Tamandua tetradactyla: one gene and its partner. The protein of the gene in region 2 purifies or fractionates together with the protein of the main gene of each other region. This does not show direct contact. Links are inferred from orthologs where the notes say so. Each region holds a gene or a part of one and is shown on either strand. Other genes may lie near its edges. The genes, in order: UBL4A and GET3.

The links.
Region 1: the proteins of GET3 (region 2) and UBL4A purify together in Homo sapiens (affinity purification with mass spectrometry; 4 studies listed by BioGRID and IntAct, with this or other methods). This does not show direct contact. The link is inferred for Tamandua tetradactyla from reciprocal best matches to the Homo sapiens genes GET3 and UBL4A.

What each region holds. Positions count from the first base shown.
Region 1 is NC_135353.1:6,801,410-6,807,984, forward strand, and holds UBL4A (ubiquitin-like protein 4A), read right to left. Parts: upstream 1,734-6,575; 5' UTR 1,684-1,733; coding exon 1,636-1,683; intron 1,504-1,635; coding exon 1,398-1,503; intron 1,151-1,397; coding exon 930-1,150; intron 811-929; coding exon 700-810; 3' UTR 679-699; downstream 1-678. Other genes in the region: SLC10A3 (P3 protein), read right to left, coding at 2,687-4,108. UniProt on the Homo sapiens protein: As part of a cytosolic protein quality control complex, the BAG6/BAT3 complex, maintains misfolded and hydrophobic patches-containing proteins in a soluble state and participates in their proper delivery to the endoplasmic reticulum or alternatively can promote their sorting to the proteasome where they undergo degradation.
Region 2 is NC_135337.1:89,873,979-89,881,338, forward strand, and holds the start of GET3 (ATPase GET3), read right to left. Parts: upstream 3,213-7,360; 5' UTR 3,005-3,212; coding exon 2,844-3,004; intron 2,099-2,843; coding exon 1,951-2,098; intron 1-1,950. Other genes in the region: TRIR (telomerase RNA component interacting RNase), read left to right, coding at 4,403-4,744, 6,549-6,626, 6,893-7,000.

The DNA of each region.
Region 1 (6,575 bases), on a different chromosome or scaffold from region 2:
GCACTGCCCCCTTCCAGGAGAAGACAAGCGTAGGGAGTGCCCCGGAGAAGAGTTGTACCCCATCTCCGGCCACACTTGCCCAGTGCTTCCTTTTTGGCCTCGGTTTGTTTACTTTACACAAGAGGGGAAAAGGCCCCCCTGGGGGGGGGGAGCAAGAAGGAGGGACTTAAACGGACAGGGGGGCCCTCATCAGGCAGAGTCAATGGCTGGGGGTGCCAGTATGGCACAGGGCCTTGCCCAAGGTCCCACCCGAGAGCCCCCCACCTACTTTCCCTTCGTTGAGAGCACACTGGCCACAGCAGCCCCGGGGAGGCTGAGGGTGGGGGCCAGGCCTCCCATAGGGGTGAGGGCAGGCCTGGGCTCCTGGGCAGTGGCTTCCCCTTTCGGGCTTAGGAGAAGAGTTGCTCAAAGATGCATCTGCGGTGGGCTCAGCACTGAGTGCCGAAGCCTGTCCCTTGGAAGCCTTGGAAGCCACTTGCTGCTTTCTCACCCTGAGGTACTTCAAGAGGCTGGCTCCTGGCTATCCCCGCCTCTCCTGAGGGGTCCGTGGGCGAGCCAGGCCAAGTGTTTTGAGTGGGGCGTGGGCTGTTATTACTATGATGAGCCACGTGGCAACCTGAGAACACATTTCATGCAACATGCAGCTACGGCTCTGCCCCCCCCACCCCCCCCCACCCCCACCCCCCCGCTCCAAGACCCTTATTTGGAGAGCCCCTTCTCCAGGGCCTCGGTCACTTCGGGGTGCAGGAAGCGGCTAGCCAAGCGTTCGATGTCATCCAGTGTCAGGCGGCTCAGGGACCTCTCGTAATCCTGAAGAGAGAGGGGCCAGGAGGACTCAGGGGGGTGGCGGTGCCAGAGGCAAGGTCTGGAGGCAGCTGGGACTGGAGGGACCGGAGGCCCAGGGCGTGGGGATGCTATGCAGTTCTCACCCGCTGGAGCTGCTCCAGGACCCGACTGGCATCTGCGGCGCTGAAATGTCGGCCTAAGACTTTGGAGATCAGCTGCCAGGTGGCGGGGGGTGGGGGTGAAGGCGGCGCCTCGGCCCGTCTCCGGGCCGTGTCTGCTTCCAGCAACACCTTCTCCAGGGGCTTGACTGCTAGGTTGAGCTTGGAATTGGGTCCGATGCTGTAGTCGGACAGTCGCTTCCCATCTGCCACAGCCAAGTGGGTGGCGTGCCTTACCATCTATGGCTGGGTGCGGGGGAGAGCGGGGGCGCCCCCGAGGAAGTGCTGCCCACCCCAAAGAGCGCACACCGAGGAGGCCCTGGTTGGGGACCCTGCTTCGGCGCCCGAGGGTCAAGCAGGGCACTCGGCGCCCGCCGGGGGGCAGGGCGCGGCCTCTGACACCCAGCTCCCCGACTTCCTGCGGGGCTCCCTGGGTGTCTCCACCCGGGTTACCTGCCAGGGCCTTGCCCTTGAACAGCAGCCGCTGCTGGCGCACGGGGACGTTGAGCTTCTCGGAGACCAGATGCTTGAGCGTGGCCACCAGCTCGTCCTCTGACACCTGGACGGGCCGAAAGGGGGTGGGGGGTGGGGGTGGGAGCCGGGGTTGAGCCCGCCAGCCTCGGGCCGCGCGGGGGTGGGCTCCCCGGCCGCCCCGTCCCCACCCGGGCCGGGTCCCGCGGCGCGCCGCTACCTGCAGGCTGCACTCCCGGCCCTGGAGCGCCTTTACCGTCAGCTGCATGGCGGCCGCCGCGCCGTCCACTGCGGCCCGCGCGCGCCCTCACCGCCCGCCGCCGCCGCCGCCGCCGCCCCGGGAGCGCGCCGGAACCGCCCGCCGCCGCCGGAAGCAGGCCCCGCCCCCGTTTCGCCCCGCCCCCTGGGGGAGGAGTCCCGCCGGCCGCCCGGCCACGGCCACGCGCGCGCGCTGGGGGCAGAGCCCTGCTGGGGGAGGAGGAGGCTCGAGGTGGGTCAGGGGGAGCCCCGTCCGGGGAGCCGGGCCAGGGGGAGGTGGCAGGTTCCCGCGACCGCGCTGGCCGTCTGCGGCCCGATGGGCTGCCTCTCCCGGAGTCCGCGAGCTTGTCCTGCTCTGGGCCCAGGCAGTGCGAGCGGGGTGACTGGAGGGGAGGGCCGCCCCGCCCTGCCCCGGCTAGCTCCGCGTCCCGATTGCTTTATTTCCCCCCCGCACCCACCCCCACTCCTTTTCTGGTCTAGCTGTGGAAAACCCAGCTGAGTTTGCGAGCAGGCGGGGATTGCCCAGCCCCATCCTCCCACCGCTGTCTTCGAGAACCCCGAGGCCCCACCCCTCACGGGGTGAGGGAGGGTGGGGCCTGAAAGAGCCCGACGCCCATAAAAACCAAGGCCTGAGCGCAGCCTCCTTGCCCTCCGCAGCTGCAGATGCCCAGACCAGGCAGGACCCGGGGGCACCTGTGCTCAGGCCACCGCGCCCGCTGGCCGGCCCTCCACCCTGGTGCACACCTACCCGGCACCTCCGGCCCCCAAAGGGCAAAGATCAAAAGGGACCCAAGCTGGCTTTCTCTCTTTTATTGAAATATCGTTTTGCCGGGCAGTGCCCTCACGCAGCGTGGCCTCTTTGGCACTGAAAGCTGGAGAATAAAAAAATCGGTACAAAAAATAAGCCTGGATTTTTTTTTTTTTTGAGTGCATAGTGCATGAGAACTAAAGGCCTTTGGTACACGCGGACGGTGGGTGGGCCGTGGGGCCTCGGGTTGCTGGAAGCTGGGTGCTCAGGGAACTGGGAACAGGCTGCTGTAGATGAAGTGGCCAACCACCATGGCCAGCATCTCCGAGGTGCCGCTCAGCGCCACGATGAAGGGGGCCTGGGAGGCGTAGTCGGCCTGGAGGCGGCGGAAGGACAGCTGCAGCACGGCCAAGGCCAGCAGGCTGTTCTGCACCCCGACCTCGATGCTCACGGTCCGCCGCTGGGCCTCAGGCAGCTTCAGGCACCTGGCCAGGCAGTAGCCCACCAGGAGGCCCACCAGGGGCACCGTGAGGCCGGCCAGCACAATGGGGAAGCTGACGCCCACCAGGATGAAGACCCCCATGTGGTAGGCCAGGAAGAGGCCGCCCAGGAGGAGGACGAAGCTGAAGGGCTTGATGACCTGCAGCAGCAGCTGGGAGAACTTGGGCAGCTTGCACTTGATCACCACCCCTGCCGCGATGGGGATGGCGATGAAGAGCAGGGTCCCCAGGATCTTGGAGATGGGCAGGTGGAGCGTCTCGTGGATGCTGAGCAGGTGGCTGTACATGGCGGAGGACAGGGGCAGCAGGCCGGTGGCGGCCACCGTTGAGATGAACGTCATCGAGATGGCAAGGGTGACGTCCCCTCCGAGAAGAAGGCTGAAGAGGTAGCTCCCCCCACCCCCGGGTGAAGAGCAGGTGACAATGAGGCCGAGCGCCAGGGCCTTGGGCAGCATGAAGGCCTTGGCCAGCAGGAAGGCGTAGAACGGCATGACAAGGAACTGGCCCAGCAGGCCAAGCAGCATGGGCTGGGGGTTCTGCAGAAGCCCCTTCAGGTCCTGGAGCTCCACCTTGCACCCAAACGAACACTTGTTGACGAAGATCAGCGGCAGGAGTAGGTAGAGCAGGGGGTTCTCCGAGAAGTGGACCAGGTCGGTGCTGAGGCTGGTGGGCGTGTCTTCTGCCGGGGAGACCTTGATGCGGAAATCTCTCCGCTCCTCAATCACCACGGGCTGGGCCTCCCGGTGGTCCAGGAGACTGATGTGCAGTGGGGCCAGCCCCGCCAGGCCGGAGCGGATGCTCACCACGAAGCCACGCCCGCCTCCCCAACTTAAGGCACTCACGTTCTGGATAGTTAGCACCTCCGTGTCCAGGGAGGTGACCCTGAGAGTGGGGCCGGGCCCTGTCCCGTTGTGCTGGCCTGGGTACCGGCTAGAGATGACGATGATGCCCTCGCTCTCCTCTGGGAACTCAAACTCCATCACGGAGCCATCCCCAATGTTCAAGTAGTGGGCCCCCGGAAGCGGCCCGGTGGGGCCCAGAGCCATGCCGAGGCTGGCCCCGGCTGTCCCTCGGACCCCCCATGGCAGGCTGGCCAGCAGCAGGGTAGCCCTGAACATGGCCAGGGGGCCTGTGCAATGACACCACGCGGCCTGGTGCCCCTTGGGGCTGGCCCTCCCTAACAGCATGGCTTCTCCCGGGCCCTCCTGGGCTTAGGAGAGCAGCCCAGCTGGTGCCGTAGGAGCGTCCTGGGGAGGGGCCATGGGCGAGGTCTGGCTTGTGCTGCCTTCCTTGATGGTGTGCTCTCCCTGAGGACAGAGGGGACACAGAGAGGAAGCCGGTGAGGGAGACTGCATGCCTCCGCGGGTACCGGCAGCTTGGGGGATGTGGAACACAAGGGCAGTGCCCGCTGCTGGCCCTTGAATCTCTTCAAGCTGTCCCCTGTCCCGGCATAGCTGCCTTGCCCAGAGGGGCACCTAGGGGCAGGGGTTCTGTTCAGTCTGCCGGTCTCCACGGATGTCCCTGGCCTGGCCTATCGCAGTGACAGTGCAGAGATGTCCTGAGTCAAAGGGAGTCAAGGGGAGTCACCCCAGTCCTGGCACCACTCCAACTAAACTACGTGTGCCTGTCCCCCACCGCCTTTGCCTTGGGGCCACAGTGATCCCACAACCTGGGTGAAGTCTCTGAAAGGCTTCCTGGAGATGACAAAAGCAAAAGCTGCTGCTGGGAAATGCTGGTCGGGCCAGACCTGGGCACCTTCGACCAAGTGGGCCAGGGAGTTTGAGCATCATTTCTGGGGCACAGCGAAGTCAGCAAAACCATGTGGGCAGTGAGTGACCACCAGAAGGCCCCCAGAAACATGGTTGGGGAAGCTGCTGCTGTGGCTACCTGGCTGCCCTCCTTGTGGACAGCAGAAAAGGCAGGTTCCCTTTCCCTGGGGAAGTTGCTGGAAGGAGCAGCAGGAGGGGATCAGATAGGGCCACATGTCTGCCTGGGACTTCTCCTTTTCCCCACATAGCCCCCACACCTCTGGCAGTGCCAGAACTTGAGCTTCTGGAGCTGCAATATCGTATCTGCAAGGCTCTGCTCAGAATGCAGACACTCCTCTCCCCCCACCCCACCCCTCACGCATTCTGGCCACAGCCTCTAACTCTCAATGTGACTGTGAGTGTGTTGGGGTGAGGGGTGATGGGGAGAGGGGTGCTCAGAGCTAAAGGGCCAGGTTTTCCTCCCTCCCCTTCTGGATTTCCACAACCACTGCCTTATTGTCACATCACCTGCTGGAACTGGGGCAAACAGGATGGGGACAGTTGCATGACAGGACTCTCAGTTGCCTCACACCTCACAGAGTCACGGTCACGGAAGAGCCGCCACCTGTTCCCCCAGTTCTAGTACTCTTTGGCCCTGGCCTATGCCACATTGGAGACTGGGGAGGAGGGGGAGGTGGGGGTGGGGTGGAGGATAGGTGAGGCAAATAGGTCACCACCACTCCCCACCCACACACACAATGACACGGCCTCTGCTGGTTTGGGAGCTTCGGTCACCCACCCCGAGGCCTTGGTGGAACCTTGAGTCCCACGGGGTGGGGATGGGGGTGGGGTGGGGAGGGATGCTGGAAAATCAGAGGACTGGAGGAGACTCACATGGACAAGATAAAGGCACCCTGGACCGAAGCCACCAGGGCGGTGCCAAACCATTTCAGACAGGAGAGAGGGGCCACGGGCCACCCACCCCCATGCCCCCATCTTCCCGGAATGGCTGGCGGCGTTCAGTCACCGCGCAGACTAGACCCCAGACCCCTTCTGCCAGAAGAGCCGGCGGGGTCGGGCCAGGCGGCATGGCAGGGCACGCTGTGGAAGCCGGGCCCCTGAGGCGTCGTCCCCCCTGGCCGGGCTGTGGCGGCGACGGTCGCGGGAGCCTCCCCACCTGGGGCTCCGGAAGCTCGCCCAGCACTCCCCGGGGTCCGAGCTGCCTCTCGCTCCCGGGCGCCAATCGGGGAGACCCGGTGGGAGCGCGGGGGTCAGGGCAGCCCTCGTCCCGCTCCCGGGACCCACGGCCGCGCCGGGCCTCGAGCTTGCGAGGTGGCCGGCCCGGTCCTGCCGGGGCGCCGGAGCGAGGCTGGGGCCAGACGCGGCCTTCCGCCCTCCCGCCCCCCGCCCGGCCCGGAGGCGCTCACCTTCCGCGGCCGCGGAGCTCGGCGCCGGCGCCTGCCGGGCCCGCCGGACGCCTGTGAGCTCGGCCCTCGGGGCTCCGCCCCTCCCCGCCTCGAGGCCCCGCCCCCGTGCCCGCCCCCTCCCGCGGCGGACCACTCACCTCTCGCGTCCGGGTTGGGTTCTGACCGGATGTGACATTACTGGGCGCGGCGAGGAGGGCGGAGGTGGGTGGTGCCTGGCGGCGTCCCGAGTCCCGTGGGGCCGCCCATGGGCGCGCCTCCTCCAGTCGCTGAGCCTTGTCGCGCGCCCTGTGCCGGGAAGGGGCCCTAGCCGTGCCCCGCAAAACGCTGGGGCGTGGGGCAAGGGGGACACACGGTTAGGGCCCGGACGGGGATTTCGGCTCAGAGGTGGACCAATCCGGACCCCGGGGCCCAGGCCTCATGCCGAGTTCCACTTTCATTCGTTCCGACTATTGACCTAGCGCCCGTTTCCCTGTCGTGGA
Region 2 (7,360 bases):
GCAGGCAGCCCTCCCTATGCATGTGGACTCCACAGAGGGACTCCCGGCCTGCCCCTCTCCATCCCCTGCCCATATCATCTCTTCTTGGTGACTTCAAGGAGGACGAGGTCCCCCATGTGCTGGCCTCAAAGGCCCTTCCCTCCAGGGGGCTTGCCAACCTGTTACCCCCGAGCCATACCCTTAGTGGGTTATTTCTAGTTGTTAGGCCACCTCTACCCTCCCACCTAAGCTCTCGCCTTCATCTCCTCACCCCCTGCCTTTCTTATTCTTCACATCTTTGGGCTGCTTTGTCCCCTAACCCCTGCCACTTTTCCACTGCTGGTGTCCTTCTTAGCCAGCACCCTTATTTGCCCTGGGTGCCACAGGCTACCTTGGCAAATACTTCCCCTTCCCTCTGGAGTTGGCAAAGTCCCCAGCCTGGTAACTCCCAATTCCCTGGTATTGCTGTGCCTGAGGATGTGCCCAACCTGATGAGTAACTCCCATCTGGGTCCCCCCTTTCTGGTCACAAACTGCCAACCAGCAGTACAAGCCAGGAGACCATTTGGGTCCTCCTTTCCCCCTCTGAAGTGCTGATGTCACATCTTTTTCCTCCTCAGACTTCTGTCCCCTTCGCCCCTCTTGCTCTCGGCTGAGTCTCTCACTCACCTTGGGTGTCTGAGAAAAGAGAAGCCATTGGGAAATGCCCCAATTCTGTGCCTTATCTCTGAGTCCCTGATCCTGGCAAAGCCCAAGTCCTGGGCCATGTGCCAGATGGAGCTCAGGCCTGGGGATTGTCCTCTGCTAGAATCGTCTTGGCATCCTGCAGCATCATTTGTTCCTCCCTGTTGGAGTGTTTGCTGCAGCAAACATGCTCTAGATCTTCTTTCTCAAAAAGCCCTCCTTACCCCACATCCCCCTCCAACAATGTCCTGATTTCTCTGGTGACACCTCTTAGCAGAGTGGTTCAGAACCATTACCACCTCCTCATCTCACCCACTCTAGCAGAGCTTTTGCCTCTGTCTCCAAAATGTTTGCACCTGCCAGAGTGATGACCTCTTCTTGCTGGAAACCCTGTCTCTTCCTGGTGCTTGGGACCCCACACTCCCTGGCTTTCCTCTGGTTTCACTGGCGGCTCCTCCTCCTCCTCTTCTGGACCCTAAATAGTGATGTGTTCCAGGGCTTGTTTCTGGGTCTGTTTTCTCATACTCTCATCCATTCACACGGCTTTAATTACCACCCTTGGGACAATGACTCCCAAATCAAATATTTAATTAACTTGCTGTCTAAAGATATCTCAACTTAGATGTCCAGCAGGCACCGTGGATTCACCATGGCCAAAACAGAACTCTCAACTGGTCCCTCATAAACCTGCTCCTCCCCTGGTTTTCCTCATCCCAGCTGCTTGGGGAGACAACTAAGAGACGTATTTAATCCATCCTTTTTTCTCACCCATCACGACCAAGACATTTCACTGCTTTACTTCCAAACACATCCCAAATCTGACCACTTTTCTTCCAGACTTCTGCCCACACGCCTGTCTGGGCTGCTGTCATCTCTCACAGCCTCCTTGCTTGTCTCTCTGCTTCTACCCTTGCCATTACGACCCACTCCTCATGGCAGCCAGAGGGAGCTCTCTGGGACGTGGAATTGGCCATGCCATTGCCCAGCCTAAAACCAACAGTTTCCCATTAAACTTGGAATCAGACCAAACCACTCACTGTAGCCTGCAAGGTCCTACACTACCTGGCCACGGCTGACCTCTCTAACCTCGCTCCTTTCCCTCCTCTTGTTCACTGAGCTGTGGCCACTCAGCTCCTCAAAACATTCCTTACTTGTTGTCTGTGGGTATGTTGAGGGAGGGGTGGAATCAAGAGAGACATAAAATGTAGAATGGGCAGGATAGGGTGGCTGATGGTGGAAGAGGAGGGGTCTTTGCCAGATGTGGGGAGCTGAGCCCTGCTCCACTCACCATGGCGAAGAGGTTGTCATAACCTTTGACCTTGGTAGGCACCTTGGAGAACTTCTGGTCAAATGCGTCCGAGATGTTGTGGGCTGGGTCTGTGGAGATGATCAGAACACTCTCCCGCCCCTTAGAGAGCTGGACCGCCAGGCTGCAGCTGGGCAAGGGAAAGGCCGAAAGGTGGAGAGAAGGAACTGGACTCCCCTGTCCCAGGTCTGCAGGGGAGATGTGGGACCCTAAGAGCGGGGAACCTAGATTAGCAGGGTCCTTGAGGCAAAAAGTGGGGGAGAAAGCCTCAAGTCTCAATCCCTGCAGGGAGCACACTCCCTGACCTCACTTATTGGCCCCTCTGGCTGGTGCTTGACCAGCTAGCATATGTGCAGTGTGCCCCTCCCTCATCTCTAAGTTAAGGGGTCCCTAGCAGCTGCTGCCAAGCTCAGGATGGTTCAGTCCACTTGTTCAAGAGAACTTGCCCCAGCGACCCTTCTCTCTCCTCTGAGTTGAGTCTGGTTTGGATCAGCTGCCAGGAACAGTCTGATTAAGTGCCCCTAGACAGGTTCAACTATCCAGAGTAGTTTGCCGTGTCCCTCTCCCTCCCTCTACTGTGAGCTCACTCTGGTACAGCTGGTACAGCTGACTGGGACATCTGAGTGCCCTCCCAGCCCCCCCGTGAGCTGGGTTCACTGTGGTTCGGCCCTTGAACCGAATTGATGGTTCAATTCAGAGATTGCCAGGACTGCGTTCAGGAAGTATTTTCCTTTCGTTCTAGGTAACTTTCTGACAGTATAACTTGGAAGACTCCGGCGCAGCCCCCTTACCCGGGTGGAAGCGCCCATCTCTGACCTCCCCTTTTCCATGGTACGTCCCACCCGTTCTACTGGCTCCCGCCGCAGTCTCCTTACCTGCAGGTGGTCTTGCCCACGCCACCCTTGCCCCCAACGAAGATCCACTTAAGGCTGCGCTGCTCGATGATGTTGCTTAGCGTGGGCTCCAGCGGCTCCACATCAGGCGCATCCTCGAACTCCTCCGCCTCAACCCCCCACCCGGCCACCCCTGCCGCCATCTTGGAACCGGCTCACGTGACCGAGCGGAGCGCACCATGCAAAGAAACAGAGGGGGGCGTTCTTCGTGTCATCCCCATCAAGGCTCGGAGCCTGAATTGGTTTCCTTGCGGCACGTTTCCAGGAGTGAAGAAAAGTTCTGCTTCTCATATTTTCCGCTTCTAGGGCTCCCCTTACAAACCTCTCTTCTACAGCCGTCTAAATACTCTCCCTGCGTAAATAACATATTGGTACGTCTCAGGCTACTCCCCTTCACTGATTGGGCCCAAAGTATTGCAGCCCGCCTTTCATTGGCTACATCTTTTCTGACTTCCACCAATCACTCTACTGTCCCGGTAGCGCCAACCTCGCCTAAGCAACCCGCCAAACACTCGGTGCCTGCCCTCCCCGCGAAGTTACGTCCGAGGTCCACCCCGGCCTGACAGCCCAGGCTCAGCTTCGTGTCGATCCTTTCCCCCGCTTTTCTCCCAGTTGGGTCTCCACAACGTCTCAGGCCCGCTCCCTCTGTTATCAATTGACTGCGAGCCTCCTGGCTCTTGCTGCACACCGATCAAAGATGTAATGAATAGTTGACTGGAGTCAGGTCCCCGGGTTGCGATTGGGTTAGAGAGAGAAAGATTCCACTTGTGGACAGCGTCCGTGCATCCTGAGCCGTATCCCCGAAAACTTCCTTGCTCTTGCACCCCGTTCGAGGGGATGTTTGAGCCTCTGCCCTGGGCAGGAATACAAACTGCGTCCTTGGCCTTGGCGAGGACCTCAGTCCAGAAATACTTCTATCCTTAGGTAGGGACTCTAGCCTAGAAATACCCCAGCTTCATTTGAATTCTCCAGCCTAAAACATACCCCTAGTTTCAGGCAGGGAACCCAGCCGCACGGAGCTAGCTGTGACCCCATTCCCAGATGGGAGCACCATCCCAGATACAGGCTCTCACCTCAGAGGTGACCCCATTCTGGGCGGGGTGCCCAGTTCAGCGATATCCTTTACACTTAGTTGGGGACCCAGTTCCAAAGCGTCAGTTGAGCCCACCGCCCAAGACGGGGTTCCTACCCACAGATATTCTCCCGGGATCCTAGCCTCGGAAAGCTATTGTGCCCCCAGTTCCAAAGGGGGACTCCAGTCTAGAGGACCAGCTGTGGCCCTAGTCCCAGACTATAGTCTCGTTCCTGGGGCGCACGGATCTGCGTAACCACAAGCCGAACCCAGTTGGATTTTAAAAGCCCGCCCCGCCCAGGTCGCTGGCCTTCGTTCGCCCCGCCCCTCGGGCCCCGCCCTTAAGGCCGACGCCTGACGGCCAGACCGCTCTTCCCGGCATGCCTTGCCCGGGACCAGACGAGTCGGGCGCCAAGCGCGGGGCCGGAGTGGCCTTCCCGCAGTCCTTTGCGCGGCACCTGGCGACAAAATGGCTGCCCGAGGGAGACGGGCGGAGCCTCCGGGTCGGGAGGCACCGGGCCCTGCGGGCGGCGGCGGCGGCGGGAGTCGATGGGCAGAGTCGGGGCCTGGGACGTCACCCGAGAGCGGGGATGAGGAGGTGTCGGGCGCAGGCTCGAGCCCGGTGTCAGGCGGCGTGAACTTGTTCGCTAACGACGGCAGCTTCCTGGAGCTGTTCAAGCGGAAGATGGAGGAGGAGCAGCGACAGCGGCAGGAGGAGCCGCCTCCGGGTCCGCCGCGTCCCGACCAGCCGGCCGCCGCGGGCCCCGGGGAGCCGAAGAGGAAGGGCGGCCCGGGCCCCACGCTCAGCTTCGTAAGGAGCCGCGGGGGTGGGGGCGGGCGCCAGGGCCTGCCCTGGCAGGGGTGAATTGGGGCCCGAGAAGGGGAATCGGAATTCAGATTTACCCCCGCCCAATCCTGCCCGGATGAGGAGGCTGGGGCCGTTCGGGCCACCCGCTGAGTATGCAGAGCCTGGATTCCCGTCGAGAAGGGTCTGGGAGCGGGGATTCCCGGAAGCTGCCCGCGGGAGCCGGAGAATCGCACCGGGATACTAGGATTCCTGTTTGAGTGGTACCCGGACTTTGGATCCCCGACTGTGGGGAAGGAGGGCCAATTTAAGTGCTGGAGTCTGAGCTCTGCGGAGTTAGACACTCAGACCGCTTCCTGTTTAATCTTAGGAAAATTGCTTAACTTCCCTGAACCACATTTGTGCAGTGTCCACTTATTGAGCACCTTACCTTGTGCCGGGCATTGTGCGAGATGCTGGATATGCAGGGGTTACCATGACAGACAAGAACTCTGCTTTCTTGGAGTGGGCAGGTTGGCCTAGCCTCGTTTTCACTATTTGCAAAAACGGAGATCCTAGCATCTTTGAATATGGTAAGGGTATATGATGAAGCAATCCTAGAATACTCGTTAGCTCCTGGCCTGTTTTATAGGAAAGGCTGATCAGTGGTTGTCCACGGAGTATGATCCCCCCGCCCCCCATCCGGGAGATACATTTAGCAAAGTCTGGGGACATTTTTGATTGTCTTAGCTTGTGGGGGAGGGGGTGTGCTACTGGCATCTAGTGAGTAGAGGTCAGGGATGCTGCTAAACATTCTACAATGCACAAAACAGACCACCTCAGCAAAGAATCCTCTGGCCCAAAATGTTGATAGTGCCAAGAACCAAAATCTCTGGTCTAAATAAAATAAACCGGACCTTTTTTTTTTTGTCATTCCTGGGCTTGCTTTATCTCTGGTTTTGAGATTAAGTCCCCATGGTGTTGGAGAAAGAAGGGCTGATTTGAGAATAACAGCCTGGGGCTGGGGATGGGGTCAAGTCCTGGATCCAGTTGTGTATTACTGGACATGTATTTGTGTATTTTGAGTGTGGTTAAAGTGCTAAGAAATGGGCTGGTGTGAGAACCAGCCTGGGAGTCGAGGCTGGGTGACCCTCTGTGAGTGGGAGTGGCAGGAGTTATTAATGTCTTTTTGTTTGTTCATATTGAGGGGCTGTTGCGGGAGCACCTACAGAGTAGCTGGGCCAGGTTAGTGCAGGGAAGATGGCATTGCTCCTTTAAGGATGCTGTGTGTAGCTCAGACCCACCTGATCATGAGGCAAGCCCCATTTTAGCTGCCAGCATGACCCAGGGGCAACCTCTCCTCCAAGCCTTTCCTCTTCTGTAAAATGGGCACAGTTATAATGGTCATCTTGGACTAACTGTGAAAGTGAACTGAGATGATAATGTCCAAAGCACTTGGCCCAGAGCTTAGCATACAGTAAGTGCTCAATAAAGGGAGAAATTTTCACCCACGCAGTCCCTGCAAGGAGAGGATGAGGCCTCAGCATGGAGAGTGAAGAAGGAGCCTCTCCCCACTGAGGCGGGTGCTCTTCTCACTCCCAGGGAGGGCAGCGTGGGGGCCCAGGACTGCCTGGGCATCACGGGCTGGGGCAGGCGCTAAGAGTCGCGTGTGCTCCTCTCTGATTGCTGCGCAGGTTGGCCGGCTGGCGGAGCTGGGCGCGGCGTCAGGACGGGCCGCCAGGCCAGGCTAGGAAGGTGTAGTGGGCCTCAGCACCGCCACGGGCGGGCCCCGGCTCCCGTAACCGTTGCAGTCTTCTGTCCCTTCACCCAGGTGGGCAAGCGCAGAGGCGGGAACAAACTAGCCCTCAAGACGGGAATAGTAGCCAAGAAGCAGAAGACGGAAGACGAGGTGAGCAGGTGTTGGTGTGCGGGGGCGCCTACCCTGTCTTTCTCCTGAGCCCAGTCCCTCCCAGAGTGGTGCTGGTGGGGAAGAAGGGCCTTACACAGAATCCCCAGATATCTTGACCCTGCCTGTCTTTTCCCTCACACCTAGGCCCTTCTGGAAGGGCAGCACTCGGGGTGGGTAGCTGCCTCTGGATAGTCTTGACCTCAGATCAGAGCCTCCCTGACATCCCACCCCCCCACCCCTTTGCTCCTCTTCCTCCTCCGTCCCAGGTATTAACAAGTAAAGGTGACGCGTGGGCCAAGTACATGGCAGAGGTGAAAAAGTACAAAGCCCACCAGTGTGGTGACGACGATAAGACTCGGCCCCTGGTGAAATGACCCCTCCCCCCACCTGCCCATGGCCTTGGACTCTTTGCGATGTACATACTATTTAATGTGGCAGCAGCGGCAGCAGCCTTCCCCCCGAGGACTTATACACAGAAGGACACCGAGATGTTTTCCTGCAGCCGCGGACGATTCTCCAGGACTCTTTTTTACCTTGAGCACTTGCCTCCTGAGACTTCATAGAACAGTGGTTTACTGTCCACCCTCTTCCCGCTGCCCCACTCTCTCTGGCTCTCTCTGTCTTCCTCTTCTCCCACCCTCCTTTCCTTCCCCTTAGTCATCACTTCTGGGAAGTAAAGAACTTGATTTAGTGCTGGAGTCGTATGCGTGGTCGGCTTTCTTTGCTCTCTAATG